5 linked regions of the Mus musculus genome follow. The protein of the gene in region 1 purifies or fractionates together with the protein of each later gene. This does not show direct contact. Links are inferred from orthologs where the notes say so. Each region holds a gene or a part of one and is shown on either strand. Other genes may lie near its edges. The genes, in order: Irak1, Map3k7, Tollip, Peli3 and Irak3.

The links.
Region 2: the proteins of Irak1 (region 1) and Map3k7 purify together in Homo sapiens (affinity purification with western blotting; 5 studies listed by BioGRID). This does not show direct contact. The link is inferred for Mus musculus from reciprocal best matches to the Homo sapiens genes IRAK1 and MAP3K7.
Region 3: the proteins of Irak1 (region 1) and Tollip purify together in Homo sapiens (affinity purification with western blotting; 11 studies listed by BioGRID and IntAct, with this or other methods). This does not show direct contact. The link is inferred for Mus musculus from reciprocal best matches to the Homo sapiens genes IRAK1 and TOLLIP.
Region 4: the proteins of Irak1 (region 1) and Peli3 purify together in Homo sapiens (affinity purification with western blotting; 7 studies listed by BioGRID and IntAct, with this or other methods). This does not show direct contact. The link is inferred for Mus musculus from reciprocal best matches to the Homo sapiens genes IRAK1 and PELI3.
Region 5: the proteins of Irak1 (region 1) and Irak3 purify together in Homo sapiens (co-immunoprecipitation; 3 studies listed by BioGRID and IntAct, with this or other methods). This does not show direct contact. The link is inferred for Mus musculus from reciprocal best matches to the Homo sapiens genes IRAK1 and IRAK3.

The regions. Positions count from the first base shown.
Region 1 is NC_000086.7:74,017,413-74,020,926, reverse strand, and holds part of Irak1 (interleukin-1 receptor-associated kinase 1), read left to right. Parts: intron 1-391; coding exon 392-599; intron 600-961; coding exon 962-1,027; intron 1,028-2,560; coding exon 2,561-2,797; intron 2,798-2,909; coding exon 2,910-3,026; intron 3,027-3,415; coding exon 3,416-3,514.
Region 2 is NC_000070.6:31,991,601-31,995,114, forward strand, and holds part of Map3k7 (mitogen-activated protein kinase kinase kinase 7), read left to right. Parts: intron 1-112; coding exon 113-243; intron 244-786; coding exon 787-916; intron 917-3,273; coding exon of another isoform or gene 3,274-3,354; exon of another isoform or gene 3,355-3,410; intron 3,411-3,514. UniProt on the Homo sapiens protein: Serine/threonine kinase which acts as an essential component of the MAP kinase signal transduction pathway. Plays an important role in the cascades of cellular responses evoked by changes in the environment.
Region 3 is NC_000073.6:141,888,948-141,892,461, reverse strand, and holds part of Tollip (toll-interacting protein), read left to right. Parts: intron 1-295; coding exon 296-478; intron 479-1,607; coding exon 1,608-1,760; intron 1,761-2,864; coding exon 2,865-2,955; intron 2,956-3,514. UniProt on the Homo sapiens protein: Component of the signaling pathway of IL-1 and Toll-like receptors. Inhibits cell activation by microbial products. Recruits IRAK1 to the IL-1 receptor complex. Inhibits IRAK1 phosphorylation and kinase activity.
Region 4 is NC_000085.6:4,940,286-4,944,313, forward strand, and holds the start of Peli3 (E3 ubiquitin-protein ligase pellino homolog 3), read right to left. Parts: upstream 2,808-4,028; 5' UTR 2,653-2,807; intron 1,628-2,652; 5' UTR 1,627-1,627; coding exon 1,475-1,626; intron 1-1,474. UniProt on the Homo sapiens protein: E3 ubiquitin ligase catalyzing the covalent attachment of ubiquitin moieties onto substrate proteins. Involved in the TLR and IL-1 signaling pathways via interaction with the complex containing IRAK kinases and TRAF6.
Region 5 is NC_000076.6:120,198,793-120,202,982, forward strand, and holds the start of Irak3 (interleukin-1 receptor-associated kinase 3), read right to left. Parts: upstream 2,806-4,190; 5' UTR 2,668-2,805; coding exon 2,535-2,667; intron 1-2,534. UniProt on the Homo sapiens protein: Putative inactive protein kinase which regulates signaling downstream of immune receptors including IL1R and Toll-like receptors.

The sequences.
Region 1 (3,514 bases):
AAGAGCTATAGAAAGTCATATGGCCAGGGAGACAGTGACCCTCTGCTCAATGAACAGCTCTGTTCTGAGTGTCCCTGTGATATTCTTCCTGCCCAGTCCTGTGAATATGGGAACAGGTGTTGCCTGGGACCTCAGAGCTGAGAGTACTTAGGGCTATGAGTACCCCTGCATGGTGCAAGTATACAAATAAAGCCACGGTGGTGAGCAGAAGCCAAACAATGTGAAGGGGCTCAGGGACTGCGGGCCCTCAGACAGCTGGGATGCAATGCAGCCACTTTCCATAAGCAGTACGCCTCTAGTCCAGTTTATCAGGACCATTTGGGTGTAGGGGACAGAAAAACAGAAAGGTAGTAGGACCTGAACTGGTGCCATTCTTCCGTTTGTTTCCAAGTTCTAACGTGCTTCTGGATGAGAGACTGATGCCCAAGCTGGGAGACTTTGGCCTGGCTCGTTTCAGCCGCTTTGCGGGGGCCAAAGCAAGCCAGAGCAGTACTGTGGCCCGGACTTCCACAGTTCGAGGTACCCTCGCCTACTTGCCTGAGGAGTACATCAAGACAGGCCGACTGGCTGTGGACACCGATACCTTCAGCTTTGGGGTGGTGAGCCACCAGCCCTTCTGTTGGCTTGGGGAGGGAAAAGCACCAGTAAGTAAAGTCAGGAAAGCCTAGAGAATTCTAGGCCTAAGGCAGAGGTGAGCCTAGTGGGGAGCTAGCATAGCTTTGGCCTTAGGGATCACCCTGCCTCATACACCTCCCTCTTCCCTTGCACTAAATTGTGGTCATAATTTGCATCCTTTTGCTTAAGCTTGCATCCCATAACAATGCTGCCCTTGCTGGGAGGTGGTCTGTACCTGCCTGTTCCGGGACTACTTTCCCACTAGTCCTGATCCATGCCCATGCTACAAGCCTCTTCTACACACAATTTCTCCCTGCTAAAGTGATGTTGTCTATCCCCCCTCTAGGTAATACTGGAGACCCTTGCTGGTCAGAGGGCTGTGAGGACACAAGGTGCAAAGACCAAGTATTTGGTGAGCCTCCTAAGGTGGAGCATGGAGGGAGGGAGGGGCAGCTGCAGCCAGTGGGTACAGCCCCAGAGGGTGGGATGGTACAGATCCTTTACATTGCCCCACAATAGCCTGCTACTGCTGCTGCTGACTCATCTTTAAAAGTGGGTGAGTCCCAAGCAGTTTCTTTTACCTTGCACGGAAGAACCTATCTTTAGTTTGTACCTAGACCTTGAGGATAGGGATGTAATCTCAGTGGTAGAACCTTATTGCATGCAAGGCCCTGGGTCCTATCCCCATCAAAGGGGAAAAAGAACTTTGACAGGTTCCCCCTCTGCCTTGGACTGGGGATAGAGAGGGGGCTATTCCAGATACCCCGGGGACCAAACCTTCAGTGGAACTTAGAGCAGGGCTGAGTAAAGGCAGTAGGAAGTAGGCAGGCTGTTAAAGTAGCAGCTCCAAGCCATCCTGACCCCTACATTCCTGTCTACCTTGCTGTACACTGAGATAGGGCTAAGGAATAAGAGACCTAAAGCTTAGCATCTGAGTACATGGTTTTGGTTCCAACATTCAAAAATCTGAGGCAGGAGGATTGCCAGGAGTTGGAGGCCAGCTGGGGCTATATAACAAGACCTTCTATCAAAAACAACAACAACAAAATTAGTTGATTATGGTGGCATGTACACTTAGGAGGTAGAAGCAGGGGGGTCAGAAATTTAAAGTTATCCTCAGTAATATAGTAAGTTCAAGACCAGAGTAAGTTACATGGTTCACTGTCTCAAACATACAAAGAAGCTGGGCAGTGCCAGCACATGTCTTTAATCCCAGCACTTGGGAGGCAGAGGCAGGCGGATTTCCGAGTTTTGGCCAGCCTGGTCTACAGAGTGAGTTCCAGGGCAGCCAGAGCTACACAGAGAAACCCTGTCTTTTTTGTTTTTTGTTTTTTGTTTTTTTTAAAAACAAAAAACAAAAAAAGACAAGAGACCTGGGTTTTAGTCCCATCAACACAGTGGTCATGGGTCAAATTCTTGCTCTTCATTGAGCTTCAGTTTCCCATATAGAAAACAGACTTTAACACAGGAACACTATTCCAGCAATTCCTAGGCCCAGAACATGCTTGGCTAATGCTGGGTCGTCACCTTTTACAGAGTTACATCTCCCATTGCTTCTCCAGGATGAAGCCTATTTTTGTCCACTGTTGGGCCCAGTGGGGGATTTAACCAACCCAACAAACTGAACCAGATTCTACCCATCCCTCCTTCCTTTACTGCGTCCATTAGCACATCCCAGCTCAAGTACTGGTTGTTCAGACCCCACGGACCTTGCTAACAGACTAGTAGGTTTGTTGGCATCTGTTTCCCCCACTGCAATGGGATGTCAGGACTGTAAAACACGGCCCAGAGTGTTTGATTTGTGGCTGTTATCAGTAGAGCCCCAGACAGCACTAGGCACACAGTGGTGTTTAATGAACCTAGGGAAAGAAGACCAGAGGACTGAGTGGCAGTGGCCTGGAAGTTTTGGTGGAACCATGCTGAACTGACAGTATTTGTTTTACAGAAAGACCTGATTGAAGATGAGGCTGAAGAGGCTGGAGTGACCCTGAAAAGCACCCAGCCTACTCTGTGGGTGGGTGTAGCCACGGATGCTTGGGCTGCTCCAATTGCTGCCCAGATCTATAAGAAGCACCTGGACTCCAGACCTGGGCCCTGCCCACCCCAGTTGGGCCTGGCCCTGGCTCAACTAGCTTGCTGCTGCATGCACCGTCGGGCCAAGAAGAGGCCCCCCATGACCCAGGTAGCCCTGGGGAGGCCAGTTAACCATGGGGACATAGTGGCCAGCAAGAAAACTTTCGTACTTGCCCTGCTTGATAGCAATAGCTACAAAGTACCTACCTGATCTCTTACAGAGGCAAAACTCCCAACATTCCTTGCTTGCCCTTTGGCTCTATTTGGGGAGGTGCTCTGTGGAACTAAGTGGTAAAGGGCTGCTGCTTTGCTGGATGAGCCTCAGATCCCAGGAACAGGTAGAAGGAAAGGGCTCTGATCATGCCCCTAAGTGGGGGTGCTGTGCCACTCACTACCTTTGTCTTTTTGTCTTACCTTCCACCTCTTCTGGTGATGGTTAAGAATAGAGTTCCTGGCTTTGGTGGCCATGAATCTCAATAGTTCTTGGGATGAGACAAAGGAACAAAGGGCAATGTTTTCTCAGCTGCAGAGTGCACCAGCTTTGTGTTATCTGTCATTCTGTTGGCTGTATGGGGCCTGTGGTATTAACCTGAACATAGGCAAGTCTAGGCCAACCTGAAGCAGCAGAGTAGCTGTGTGGTTTGACCACAGGGTGTCAGATCTAGGCTGCCTTGCCCAGCCAGGAACCCATGCTCTGCCCATCCTGAGAGCCTCTCTCTCCACACAGGTATACAAGAGACTAGAAGGGCTTCAGGCAGGGCCTCCCTGGGAGCTAGAGGTTGCCGGCCATGGCTCCCCTTCCCCACAGGAGAACTCCTACATGTCT
Region 2 (3,514 bases), on another chromosome or scaffold:
AGTGTGTTTTCACTGGTGTAGAAGTCTTATTTTTACATATGTCTTGTCCACTATTGAATAAGGCATTCATATTATTCCCAGCCTGTAGTCTGAAATGTGTCTGCTTTTCTAGGCTCATTCATGGACATTGCTTCTACAAATACCAGTAATAAAAGTGACACAAATATGGAACAGGTTCCTGCCACAAACGACACTATTAAACGCTTGGAGTCAAAACTTTTGAAAAACCAGGCAAAGCAACAGGTTTGTTATTAAAAGTAAAATTGTATGTTTTCTTTACTAGTAGTCACAACATTATACTAAAGTTATAGATTATTTGCAATCTTCTGATATGTAACAATCCTGAGTTTTCTTTCTGTACCAGACAAATAAGCTTGTGGTAAGAGACATGAAATTTTGCTGTCATTTTTTACCAAACAACTTGTTTTCCTTTCTCCTGTCTGTTGCTGTTGTTAGCCCTGCCCCTTCCTCCCTGTGACCCATCTCTAACTAAGGGTCCTACAAACAGTGTGAAATGTATTTAGGTTCTATGGACCAGTTAAGTTCTCACAAGGCTGTCATCCTGTTAGGTTGGTTGTATTACGGCTGTTGTTGGTAATAAGTGATTGCTTTGAGCCGTGTATATCTGAGCCTGCTGTGCTTTACTAGGTCCCTCCGTTATAAGGTTCCCTGCTTCAGAACAGCACCATCAGCATGAAAAGCCACTTGCCATCTTCATCCTGGGCTGCCCAGGATCTCTACAGGAAAAGATCCTCAGTAACTGAGATTGACCTGTAATCCTAACAGAGTGAATCTGGACGCCTGAGCTTGGGAGCCTCTCGTGGGAGCAGTGTGGAGAGCTTGCCCCCCACTTCCGAGGGCAAGAGGATGAGTGCTGACATGTCTGAAATAGAAGCCAGGATCGTGGCGACTGCAGGTAAAGGGGCTGCAAGCCCAAAGAGAAAATGCCTATGGTTTTACATGGTACTCGCGGTTGTATTCAATAGGGCCGATGGGTCGTGTCTTATATCTGCTTTCTAAAAACAGATGGTGGGTTCACGGTGTTTTCTAAGCTTTCAGCAGTAAAGGTTTTGGTTCAAATTTTAAATAGACAAGTATGGCTTAAAATGTATTTGGATTATAAAATACACTTCCTAGTTACAGACTTTCAAATGTAACAAATATATCAAATATATTTCTCCTCAAACATAAACAAGCTTCAGAAATCAAACTTTCACCAATACCAGAGTATTTTCTATGGCTGAGTAATTCCAGTGTTTTTATGCTGAGCCCAAGAAACGAAACATGATTGGCAGGAAATTGTGCCCCAGGAGCTGTTGTCCTGCTCTTCCTGCCAGCGGCCAGAGTCGCCCAGCTAGCTGTTTGCTTATCTGATGATAGAATCAATAGTAGTAGTTTCATCAGACGTTGGCTTTGATAGTGTTTAAATTTCATTTTGTCAGCTCTTAAAATGTACAATAGACAACGTAGCCAGAATTAAAAAGAATGGCATTTTGTCACCTGGTGAACCAGCACCTTTTTTAAACCGGGTTTCACTTTAGTGGTGCCAATTTAATTTGAGTCTTATTTTGTTATTTCTGATCTTCCAAGGTTAGACAAGAGTGAATTGTAAAAATGAGCATTGTATTGGAGCATGTAAAAGTGTAAAACAAATAACAGTAAAAACTTGATAAATTCTCCTCTTCGGGGGATAGTTTCGATGTATCTGCATATCTTTTAATTATATATACAGAGTTTTAAAAAAAATGTAAACGGAGATGTTTTCTAAGTAAAATGTTCTGATTGTGTGTGTTCTCTTTGTAGAGAGTGGCATCCAGATGAACTGTACTGTACTTGTCTAAACTAATCACAGTCACTGATTTATCAACCTGCACTAAAAGCCTTTAGATAGGAAGGACTGTCTGAAGAGACAGTGTTTAAACACTAAGCTATTGAGCCCACAGAGACAAGTCTAGATTTGCCTTGTGGTCTTTAGGCACTGGTTTTCTATCTCTGTGTCACAATCTCTGTTGTTTAACTTCTATCCTCAAGGTTACCGTGTGGTCCAAAATGGTTGTGACAGCTCAAGCCGTCACTTCACTGCTCAGGTAGCAGGAAAGAAAAGGAAACAGAAGGGGGGAAAGCTTTTGAAACCAATTTCTGCAGCTTCCACACTCATTCCACAAGGGGTCTGAGCCATAGCTGAAATTGCTGCATTAGTAAAGTCAGAGCCCATGCTAAGGAGAAGAAAAGACTAGAAATGAGTGGGGAAATAGCTGTCTCCACCTGAGATAAATCCTCAGAAAACGTCAGGTTCAGTAGAGGTCAGTGCCCATCACTGGTCTGCTGGTCTCCATGAAGCACAGATGTCTGTAGACAGAGACATACTGCCAGCATTGTTGGGGGTCCACTTCAGTTCAGTTATCATCCAGAATACACACATAATGTTGATTCTGCCCTGAAAGGGGAAGTAATGTTTTCATAATAGTTTAGGATTTTGCTAAGCCTGTTTTTCTAATCAGATACAGATTTGTAATTACATATTATAAGAATGACATTTTTCCAGTTTAAGGATAATCATACATAAAATTAGTTTGTCCTCTCTACCTAAATGTAAGACAATACATCCTTTGAATTTTAAATAATTTGAATTTTTAATGAATTATCTTACTTTGAAAGGTTCATATTCCAGCTTTTGACAGTCTTCCTGTTTAACAGTTATATACTCTAAACGTTTAAAATTGTAATAAATATTCAGTTTATTAGAAACACTGTAGATAAACTTAGGGAAATATGTTTTAATGCTTTGGTATGATGACTGTTGATAATCACGGAATTTGATTTATAGCACACTCCAGGACGCACCTAACTTAGGATCTTCCTGCTCCTGTTTGTGTCGTAAGCACAAACATGGCAGCTTGTCTTACTAACTCCTGCACCTCCTGTCCTGCCGTCCCTCCCGTCACCTCATACCACTGATTTTACTTAGGTACACTATTTCTAAGAACACATCGGAAATTTAGCTTCTTCAGTGTCCTGCAGCTTTGTCTCTCTCTATTTGTTGTTGGGTTTTTTTCCTGCTAATTAAAACCAGTGTGTAAAACTTCTGAAACTCTTTGCTCTTTAACGTCGCCTCCCTAAGCATGGACGAAGAGTTAGATAGTTCTGCATGCCCTTTTTTTTTGCATGAGATGGATTCACACAACTATTTCAGAACTGTTCTGTTGTGCAGTCATTTCCTGTGTTACTGTGTGTGGTTGTTTGCATGTATACTGTACATGTGTGTTTTTTCAGCCTATTCCAAGCCTAAACGGGGCCACCGTAAAACCGCTTCATTTGGCAACATTCTGGATGTCCCTGAGATCGTCATATCAGGTACCATAGACCACCTGTGTTGGTGTAACGGCTGTGGAACTGGATTCATGATCCCGGTACTTTTAAATGCTTCTTGCTCCAATTTGCATAGGATATGAACAAATACCTCTCATGCTGTACCCAGGGAGATGGAGAGAAAACTGTAGATTGCCACACAAAA
Region 3 (3,514 bases), on another chromosome or scaffold:
CCATTCAACCTCAGCTCCGTGCTGAGGCCTAGGATGCGCACACTCAGTGCAGTGTCAGAGGAGAGGTCTTGTCTTACTGCTCACAGGTGTTGCCAGGTATGGCTAGGTTCCAGGGGCATGAGTCCAGGAGTGACTGGCAGCATGTTCAAGAGCAGGTTACTGACACGATTAGGTGAACTTGAAGGCTGTTTTTTCACACACTGGGAAATATCTGTAAGAAAAGCAGTTTACAGATGCACTGGCCTTTGTCTCTGCTGGTGAATGCCACATTTTTCTAAATTTGGTGTTGTTTCAGGCAAAATTGGCAAAGAATTATGGCATGACTCGTATGGACCCTTACTGCCGTCTGCGTCTGGGCTATGCTGTTTATGAAACTCCCACAGCACACAATGGGGCCAAGAACCCTCGCTGGAACAAAGTCATTCAGTGCACAGTGCCCCCAGGTGTGGACTCGTTCTACCTTGAGATCTTCGATGAGGTGAGAGATGCCCCAGTGTTACAGACCTGTCTAGTTTGGGATCTGACAGACATGGGTGTGCTGTAGTGTGCCTTGTGGGTTTAGTCATGAAGCTGTTCTCCTGGTGCTCAGGCCCTGTATACATACCTAGCATTTAGTGACTGGTGACAGGGTGTGACCTGCCTGGACACCTGGCATTTAGTGGCTAAATGACAAGCTACAGATTTTTTCTCTCAGTTCCTTTGACAGTGTCCATTGGGAGCCATCACCAGCAGTAGAAGCATGAGTAGAGTGTGAAAATAGATGTTCACGGGCACGTCAGATTTCAAGCAAGTCAGGCTCCACTCGTGATGGGAGCACTGTTCTTGTAGGCATGAGTTCCAGGCTCTGCCAGTAATGTCCCATGGCTGTTCCAGCAGTTAGGCATGCAGCTTTTTGAGGGCAATCAGGAAACTCAGGTGGAAGATGTCTCCTTGTAGCTTAGCTGTGGAGGTCATATGCTTGTTTCCTTGAAACAGCAAAGGGCAGTGGGAAAAAAATGGAGGCATGAGAGCCAAAGAGGACATTGGCATGGGAGGCCCAGTGAGGGGACACAGTTTCTCCTTTGTCTTGACCCTCTGCCTCTTGCTCTACTTTCTTCTTGTTTGTTTGTTTAGTTGGTTGGTTTTGTCCCTTTCTCCTCCTTCTGTGTCTGAGAATAGTAAGGATATGAGAAGGAGGTTTGGGGCTGTGGGTGGTGGCTTGGAGCTCTTGTCCTCATCTGTACCTACTGGGCTTGATACTTGCTTCTTATATCTAGTGGATTAGGAGTAAGGGCCCAAGGACTGGGGAAGATAGTGTCCATCCCTGAACAAGGATGACAGCCCAGAGATTCTTTATTGTCCTTTGGCCTGGCCTCATGGTTGTTACTCAGAAGATGCAGAAATGGTGGTGGCCAGGTCTAGGTGATCTATGGAGGTCTGGCGTTATGGTTTAATGGGAAGCTCCTTGACGGAAGATGGAGCAGTGAGGAGGAACCTCTCCTGCCAAGAAGATAGAAGGTAGATGCAGGCACCAGTCCAGGTGGAGTCACAGCCATAGGAAAAGCTCGTCTCTATAACATGGGTTGTTGTGGGCCATGATGAGGTCATTTTACTCTTGTCTTCCTCAGCGCGCCTTCTCCATGGATGACCGCATAGCTTGGACCCACATCACCATCCCCGAGTCCCTGAAGCAGGGCCAAGTGGAGGACGAGTGGTATAGCCTGAGTGGGAGGCAGGGCGATGACAAGGAGGGCATGATTAACCTGGTCATGTCCTACACGGTGAGTTCACTGTCCGGAGAGGCCATCCTCAAAGAGGTTATGGCACCTCCTTGAGGCAGCTATGGCTCCCAGAATCCCAGAACCTTGGGAAGTCATGGGAGGCAGGGCTGGGCATCTGAGCTCCCAGTGTCTCCTTTGTATTATCTAGGCCTTTCATTTTAGTTGTTGCAGAGTCTTTGAGAACAGGGGAGTATAAAGCACTCTGATGCAGGCCTCCTCAGCTTGACCATCCTACATGCCTCTCCTGGTGTTGAGTGTTACCTGTCTTTAACAGGTGCTTTATGTAGCATAGGTCCATTTTACACTATCGCATCTACAGTTCAAGATTATTAGAGCTGGTCCAGGAGAGGTGGCTTAACAGGTAAGAGCACTGCTGCTCTTGTGGAAATTTCCAGGTTTGATTCCCAGCCTCTACATGGTGGCTCACAACCAACTGTAACTCCAGTTCCAGGGGATTCAGTACCTTCACTGGCATCAGGCACACACATAATGCACATATATACATGCACACAGAACACTAAGACATATTAAACAAACAAACAAACCAATTCAGTATTTCTGAGAGAAGCTTCTGATACTTATGCAGTCTCCAGAACAAACCGTGAAGGGGGCTGTGTGAGAAGCGGTGGTGGTTGCAGCTCATGTGAGGCCAGTAGTTGATATCATTTGTTTTCTTTAATCTTCACCCTGACTTTTGTTCTCACTGAAACTGAATCTCATTCCTCTAGATTGGCTGGCTAATGAACTTGAGGGATCTTCTTGTCTATGACTCCCTATCCCTTGGATTATAGATATGAGCTACCAAACATGGCTTTATGCATAGATGCTGGGGATTGAACTCAGGTCCTCATGCTTGTGCACCACTTTCCTAACTGAGCTAGGAGTCTGCAGCCCAAGTTGTCTAGCTGAAGGGAGGCAGTCTGCGGGAGTGTTGGTACAGATGAAACCAGAGGCCAGGAATACTACATTCTTGCTGAGGACTCCATGTCTTGGGTGTTAATGTCTGGGCTGAGGCTAGGACCACTCCTCTGATACCAGAAGTAACAAGATTGACATATGGTGTGGTCCTCCTTGACTGACATGTTTTTCTTTGTTGTGTTTCAGTCCCTCCCAGCTGCCATGATGATGCCTCCTCAGCCTGTGGTCCTGATGCCAACTGTGTACCAGCAGGGTGTTGGCTATGTGCCCATTGCAGGTGTGTACTGCTTCTTTGGTAGGCAGTCCTGGGACAAAGTAGGACAGGAGGAGGGAAGGGCCTGTGAAGCTTGAGTAGTGTAGAATTGTGTAAGCATGGCTGCTTTAAATGAGGATCCTTCTAAAACTTATTCCAGTGTCATATCTGAATTATTTATGCATACATAGGCAATAGTGTTTGCCCTAATTATTGCCACAAGTAAGGTGAGTTGAAATTTTTGGAGTTGTAGAAACATTGTCATTTTTATGAATGAGTTACTGGAATAAGACAACCTGGTTCCTGTTAGACAACACTCACCCTGAGCACCTACATCTTAAAAGAAAATCATGGCTTTCATTGAAAGTATTTACCCATATAAATTAATAGCTGCTTGGGTCATAAAGTCAAGATGTGGCTTTTATGTATTTTTTTAAATTTCTAATCTTCCTGTGGCTTTCACAGTGCCTGGTATCCAACTCGTCCTCCTACCAGAATAGGGCAAGCCAGATGAGCAGATGAGATCACACAGCTCCTTTCTTGGCTTCAGCCAACAGGAAAAACTGTGGCTCTGAGAGTAGAC
Region 4 (4,028 bases), on another chromosome or scaffold:
ATATACGCTCCTCCATGAGGAACATCTCATTTACCCTTGTGAGCACTTCTCACGTACCAGCAGTGGCAAGCCTAGAGGGAGACAGGCCAGGATACAGGCTGAGGGCTCACAGGAGCCTGGCACACATCCACTCTTCAACTCATCACACAACCTCTATAAAATGGAACTCATCTGTCAGAACCTACTTGGAATATTGATTTTGAGAACTAAACAAGATAAAGTGCTTTAAAATGCTTGATAGAGTTTGCTACTCTTATAGCAAGGTCTTGATATGAGTTGGCTATTGTGGGTATTTGAAAAAAGGCAAGGTGGCACATAAAAGTGACCAAGTGACAGCCAGTGCTACATAGTTAATCTTCACCATGATCTGACAGCGGATCAGCAGAGGGAGACACATCTGTGTCTGGGGGAAGGGTTTCATGGAAGATGCAGGTGTCCAGGCAGGCAAAGACCAGAGCAAGCCCCATCGATTTCTCTGTAATAACCTCCACTTTCTCGTCTGTAATGCGAGGAGGAGCTGCAGCTTAGTGTAGTGTGCTAGACCTACAATTAAGAAGATCTGGGTTCAAATCCCAACCCTCCCACTTATGAGCTGTGTGCTTTTGGACCAGTCACTTCCCCTCTCTGAGCCTCATTTACTTCACCTCCTTCCTCGCAGCATCTTTGTGAGGGTTGAGATGAAGTAATGTCCACAACTTCGTACTACCTGCCTCCCAGATGCTTGGTATGTGCTGAGTACCAGTCTATGTACTTTACAAAAATCTCTTCCACCTTTCTTTCTTTCAGGTAAGCTTTGGGAGGCTAGAATCAACCTTGTCTTCAAAATGAGGACACAAGCCGGGCGTGGTGGTGCACGCCTTTAATCCCAGCACTCGGGAGGCGGAGGCAGGCAGATTTCTGAGTTCGAGGCCAGCCTGGTCTACAAAGTGGACAGCCAGGGCTATACAGAGAAACCCTGTCTCGAAAAACCAAAAAAAAAAAAAAAAAAAAAAAAAAAAAAAAAAAAAGGACACAAAAGCACAGGAAAGTTTGACAACTTGCTGAAGTAGAATTGGAACCTTTTGTGCAGAATCAGAATTCTTTATCCCACACTTACACACAGTAGGTGCTTTACAGACTCTTTTTTTGCTATTCTTTTTCTTAGCTGATTACAAACTGTGGTGAGCAGCTTTAAGAATTGCCTCCGGCTGCTGGTTGTGGTGTATACCTCTAATCCCAGTACTTGGGAGGCAGAGACAGGTGGATCTCCGAGTTCAAGGCTACCCTGGTCTACTCATCAAGTTCCAGGCCAAGGCTATGAGAAACCCTGTCTCCAAAACAAAACAACAGAAATGGGTTTGATCACTTTTGCTCTTCTTCTGGGAAAGTGGCAAGAAGCAGAGAGTCCTGGGAGAGCAGCCGGTGCACACTGTTATCTTGGCTGACCTGAGGGACAGTTACCCAAGCACATCACTCCTGGACTAGGGAGGCTCACCCCAGAACGATGAGTTCACCATACTTGATGGGCTCCTCGCCTGCCAGTGCTTCTTCACCAGGACAAGACAGGATGCAAGAGCCCTGGCTCCCCGGGTGCTGGAGGTCTGAGGTCCGGGGGGATCCCACGTCAGGGTTTCCTTCCAGCACCATTCTGAGCACAGTGGGAGAAGAGAAAAGAACCTTGCAACTTCCCACCCCAGCTCCTCTCAGGCTCTGGCTAGACACAAGGCAAGAATGGTCCGTCAACACTTGTTATTATAACTACTTCCTTTCCCCCAAATGGTGAGGTTGCTGGGATACCAAGGAGGGAGACTGGTGAGACAAGACCAAGAAACAAATGGCAAAATCAGAGTCAGAGTGTTTGGTCGGTTAGAGCAATATACCAACTTTGGATGGAATGTGTTTGGCAGAGGGGCAGCCAGGACTTAAGAGACCTCTAGACTCAGACTTAATTCCTGGCTTAAGCTCTTAACCCCAAGACCTCAGTTAAGCTCTCTGTCAGGTTCTTGGGTGTCTGTCTTCATTCTAATCTTATTGCCCTTTTTGCAGCAGGTCTAGGCCTCTGTCAGTCTGTCTGTTCTCAATGACTCTCTGTCCTCCCAGCACGTCCTTTTCTGCCTGTTCTCGCCCCACTCCGGTCCCTACTTCTATCCTTCCTCTATCTGTCTGCCTTTGTCTTACCACCCACCTGACTCAGTCTCCCTATCTTAGCCTGGCAATGCAGGCAGGCCTCCAGATCCCTCCCTCCCTCAGGTGTCTGTCTGTGGTCCTCAGGCCGCTTAGGTCTCTGGAGGCCTGTGGGGGCGGCGCTCCCCAGTCGGGCACCTCCTGCAGCAGAGTCAGTCGCCCGCAGGCTGTTAACAGCCCCAACGTTGGAAGGTCTGCGCAGAGGCAGGCCTGCACCCCGTGCTCGGGAAGGGCACAATGACAGCATACGCAGATACACACCAGGCGGCCCCTCACAAATACGCGCGCGCACGCTGTCAGTCCCGCGGGCAGTGCCTAGACTGGCACAGCATACCCAAGAACTCCTACGGCAGAGACGCGCCTCCGCGCTAACAGCCACAGGCGCCAGCCCTCAGACCCGCTCTCTTAACCCCGCCACCCCCAGATACTCAAACACGCCCCCAACGCACGCCCAACACAGCCCCCCGCCCCCCACCTCGCCAGCCTCACCTGGCGGCGTTCTGGGGCTCTCTGTGTGCTGCTGGCCCCCACCCGCCTCACCTCTACTGCGCCCCGGGACTGCCGCGGCGGGATGGGCCCGGCCCGCGGCTGCTCGGTGCAGCCTCGTCACGGGGACACCCGAGGCCCGGAGGAGGGAGGGATGTGCACACAAACCTCCACGCCCCACCCCTTGCCCCACGCCCCGCCCCGGCTCCGCCCCTAGAGGCCCCACCTTACCCCGAGGCTCCGCCTCCTGCGGCTTAAGCCTGGCTGTAGTCTGGGAAGCCAAAGAGGTTGTCTACAAGACCCCTCTCTTATTCCAGGCTCCGGACACCTCACCCTCATTCTGGGGTCTTCTAGGTTCTCCCCGAGACCGGAGCCTCCTTTCACACAGTAATCTAGAGGCTCCTTTTCCCAACCTAAGACTAGCGACTGCCCACCCGCTGCTCCAAGACCCCGCCTCCTTTATGGGGAAATCTCGGAATTACAGAGAAGCCCAGAGCAAACAGAGGGAAGGAAACTACTAGAAGAGGCGGAGGAAGGTGCATCACCCGTGGAGGCTGAGGAAAGCCACTGCGGTTGTCTCGAGTGCAGATCTGTCTTTCAGTTCAGCGCGACCACTTTCTCTCTGTGCAACAATCAGTGAGCTCTGGCCTCCTTGGTGTCCAGAGACATGAATCACTGACCTCCCCTCCCAACAGCATGCTTCTATCCTTTGCAAAGCCTCAAAGGAAAGCCCACTTTGGGGTGCTCGGTCCCTCAGGGCCACAGGCTTTCTTCTGTCAGTACCAGGCTCTCTGGGTTGAATTTGGGCAAATTAAGTCCTGTAATCCTTGGAAGGCGGGTACGATAATTGTGGCCTGTCACCCCTGTCCCCGATGCCACAAAACAGATTTACAGAAATGGCTTGCTACAAAGGAACCAAGAGAGGATCTGGCCCATGGCTTCATACACCTTGATAAACACTTTACCACTTACCAACATCTCCAGCCCTTGAACGACTCATTATTTTTTTTATATTAAATCTATTTTCATGTATATGAGTATTTTGCTTCCGTGTATGGTTGTGCACCACTTGTATGCCTACCTGGTGCCAACAGAGGCCAGAAACTCGAATTCTCTGGGACTGGAGTTACAAACAGTTGTGAGCCACCATGCCAGTGCTAAGTATCAAACCCAGAGCTGGGCAGTGGTGGCGCAAGCCTTTAATCCCAGCACTTGGGAGGCAGAGGCAGGCGGATTTCTGAGTTCAAGGCCAGCCTGGTCTACAGAGTGAGTTACAGGACAGCCAGGACTATACAGAGAAACCCTGTCTAATAATAATAATAATAATAATAATAATAATAATAATAATAAAAACCCAGGCTCTCTGAAAGAGCAAGCAG
Region 5 (4,190 bases), on another chromosome or scaffold:
TGACCTGGCCCCATCCGCACTTGAGCACTGTACCAAAAATATTGTTCTTGAAAACGCAGTAGCCTTACAAATACACAGGTGGATGCTCACAGCCAACCATTGGACTGAGCACAGGGTCCCCAATGGAGGAGTTAGAGAAAGGACTGAAGGAGCTGAAGGGGTTTGCAACCCCATAGGAAGAACAACAATATCAACCAACCAGACTCCCCCTCCCCAGCCCCAGAGCTTCCAGGAACTAAACCACCAACCAAGGAGTACACATAGCTCCAGCTGCATATGTAGCAGAGGATGGCCTTGTCAGGCATCAATGGGAGGAGAGGTCCTTGGTTCTATGAAGGTTCTATAGATGCCCCAGTGTAGGGGAATTGAGGATGGGGAGGCAGAAGTGGGTGGGTGGGTGGAGGAACACCCTCATAGAAGCAGGGGGAGGGAGGAGAGGAAAAGGGGTTCGGGGGGGCAGGGACCGGGAAAGAGTATAACATTTGAAATGTAAATAAAGAAAATATCCAATAAAAAAGATGTATTAAAAAATGCAGTAATTTTAGTAAGTCTATATACGCAAATACTCACTATGCCATGATCTAGCTTGAATAGGGAACAATCTGATAGGAGAGGAATCTTCTCTCTCAAATGAAGGCTGGAAATGGAAACAGCTTCGTCTTCCTGAAGTCGGGAAGACTTGATTCCAAGTAGCCTTTTCTGAGATGTTCACTGAAGAAATTGTTTAGGAGCCAAGGATGGAGCCAAGGACTTTCCTCATTTGAAGAAAGCAGTCTATGACTGAACAATTACCCTAAGCCCATTCTCCAAACCATTTTTACATAACTGTTACAGTTTCAGAAATTATAAGCATATTGTTTGCCAACCACAAAGGAAAAAAACCACTATTTTAGATAAAGCTGCTTTAAAATACTCATGTGTATTTTCAAGTAACATTAACTACAACAGCATGAGTTATCATCTAACTCCAAAGAGAACACTTGTATTTAACAAAGCATAGACTTTGCCTGAGCTTTTTGTTTGTTTGTTTGTTTGTTTGTTTTTCGAGACAGGGTTTCTCTGTGTAACCATGGCTGTCCTGGAACTCACTCTGTAGACCAGGCTGACCTTGAACTCAGAAATCCGCCTGCCTCTGCCTCCCAAGTGCTGGGATTAAAGGCGTGCGCCACCATGCCCGGCTGAGCTTTTTTGTTACTATATCACCACTTTACAATATGTAGTTGCTCAGTTTACCAAATCTGCATAAAATGGATATTTGAAGATAACTTTTGAGATTAATATGAAGAGGCTTTCTTTACAATTTTATTGCAGTAGATTTGGCAAATAAGCAAAAAACATTTAATTAAGAAAAGTGGAAATCGGGGCTGGAGAGATGGCTCAGTGGTTAAAGAGCACTGACTGCTCTTCGGAAGGTCCTGACTTCAATTCCCAGCAACCACATGGTGGCTCACAACCATCCGTAACGAGATCTGGTGCCCTCTTCTGGAGTGTCTGAAGGCAGCTACAGTGTACTTACATATAATAAATAAATCTTAAAAAGAAAGAAAGAAAGAGAGAGAGAGAGAGAGAGAGAGAGAGAGAGAGAGAGAGAGAGAGAGAAAGGAAGAAAGAAAGAAAGAAAAGTGGAAATCACATCCACCGCAAACAGCATTTCCCTTATAGATTATTGGAGACTTATTGGAAACAGCGAAGTGGGTTATGCATGCCATCTGAGTTCTGTCCCAGGATCCCGTGGTGGAAGGAGAGAACTGGTTCCTGGAATTTGTCTTCTAGATGCGGGAGGAGTGTGGGATACACACACAAAAAACACCAAAGAATAGATATCTTAAAGTTCTAAAAGAAAGGAAGGAAGGAAGGAAGGAAGGAAGGAAGGAAGGAAGAAGGAAAGGAGAAAAGAAAGAAAGAAAGAAAGAAAGAAAGAAAGAAAGAAAGAAAGAAAGAAAGAAAGAAAGAAAGAAAGGAAGGAAGGAAGGAAGGAAGGAAGGAAGGAAGAAAGAAAGAAAGAAAGAAAGAAAGAAAGAAAGGAAAGAAAAGAAAGTAAGTTTGCTTTTTGTTTTTGAGATGGCGTCTCATGTTTCCCAAGCCAGCTAGGAACTCTCTACAAGGAGAGGATGCTCTTGAGCATCTGTCCTGCCTACTTCTACCTCTCAATGACTGGCACTACCACTGTCTGTTTTATTCCAAGCTAGGGAATCGAACATGCAGCTTCATACATCTATAGGTAAGCACTCTAGCAACTGAGCGGCATCTCAAAAAAGAAGTTATAATATTAAAAAAATCTGATGTAGGGGTTGTAGAGCCAGTAGCCATGCCCTGCATACGGTAATATTTGCATACTGCTGCGCACACTGCAAACCGAGTGAAGCGAGAATCTCTTCCCAGCACGGGATGCTTTCTTGACATCTGACATACCCAATCCCCTAACTTGATACAGCAGTACCCCACTGTCAGAGAGGGAAGGAGAGTGAGTGGCAGGTCCCCGGGTTTGCTGAGTCCCTCGCGGGGGAGGACCGGCAGGTCTGAGTCGCACTCACCCAGGCCCCGCCAGCCGAGCGGGCCATCGCAGCTGTCCAGGATCCCGCAAAGCTCTCCCAGCAGTGCGGGCGGCAGGTCGAAGAGCAGCAACTGTGGCGACAGCGCGCCACGGGCCCCGCACCGGCCGGCCATCGCGGAGTCCCGGGACCCCACGCAGAGAAGCAGGGAGGTCGCCGCTGTCACCGCCTTTCACAACCGCGGAAATTCAGCTCCACGACGGCTGCCCGGAGCTTGCAACACGCCGTCGCAGGGCGGGCCCCACGTGACGTAGGGAGCCGCTCCCCAGGGATGCGCCCTGCGAGACCTGGGCTGCCCTTGCTCCTAGCCGCTGTCCCGCGACCCTGCGCGCCGCACCCCAGGTCATCTTTGTTATGAACCGTTCTGTCCGTCCCCGTCTTGGGACATGACCCAGGAGACCAGCCAAGAAAATGAGGGCGGGGAACAGCGGCTGGAATCCGGGAAAGCCGCCACCCCTCTGCTGCTCTGGGACGGGCGGCCTCCTGGCCACGATGGATCTAAGAGGTTTGTGTTACATCTTTTAAAGTTTCTCTTTGTCCCGTCAGGAAAGAAATGCGTGCTCACCGAGAAACACGTTTTTGCCAAATAACTTTAAACGGAAGGAAACGTGTACACGCCGGGCGAAATGGACATAAAAAGAAAACCACAACAAACAGGCCAAACCTGGGCAAACAAACTGCTCATCCTTGCTGCAGAAGGCAACCCCTGCCGTCGTGCCGCTTGGTTTTACTACAGTCTCCCTTTCTTTCCTCGCAGTGCTTCAACGAGTTTGCAAAATGAAGTTTAGGAAACATTGGCTGGTGTGTTGAAATATTCTACCGTTTATGCTGTAATGACCACCGCAGGAACGGTACGGATACTACTGACAAAGGAGGTGGGAAAATGAAGTGGGAGATTTTATGATAACCAGGCACTGAAAAACAAACTCCTGTTTCAATCCCCTGAGCTTGTCTTTGGAATGGCGCCCCCTGGCGGTCAGCAGCAATGGTGCCTGGGCATTCAGTACCCACAGTGGCAAAGTTAGAACTGTTTGAGCAAAACTTCTTAAGTCTCCTCATTCTAAGGACTACGGTTTTATCAGGCTACACCCCAAAAAGGGTCTCTATGCCACCATGCTGAGCATCAGAGGGAGAGAAGATTGATACAGGGTTCTTTTTGACTTTCTAGACCAGACAAAAGCAACCTGAGACGTGTGCCTGCACAGGAAATCGCCATGTGTGGTTGTGTTAGCTTTCTGACAAAATGCCCCCACCGAGCAGCTTCAAAAGAAGAAGTTGTTTGGTACACAACCTCGGAACTTCAGTCCATGGTTGCTTGACCCCAATGTCTTTTGAGGTCTCTGAGAAGCCAAAGTGTCATAGCGTAAGTGATCCATGGCGGCAGGAAATGAGAGAGAGGGAGGGAGGAAGGGGGACAGGGCCAGGGTACCAAATTCCCTTCAAGGGATCTGATTTATTTGCACTAAGACCTATCTGGTTCCGGTTCAGTCGCCTATCAGCACTGTAGGCTGGCAAGCAAGCTTTTAGTATATGGGCAGTCAGAGGATGTTTAATATCCTCACTATAACAATAACAGTAACACTCAAAATGTTTGCATCACCAGGTCTTCTAATGCGGCATGAGGCAAGGAGAAAGAGA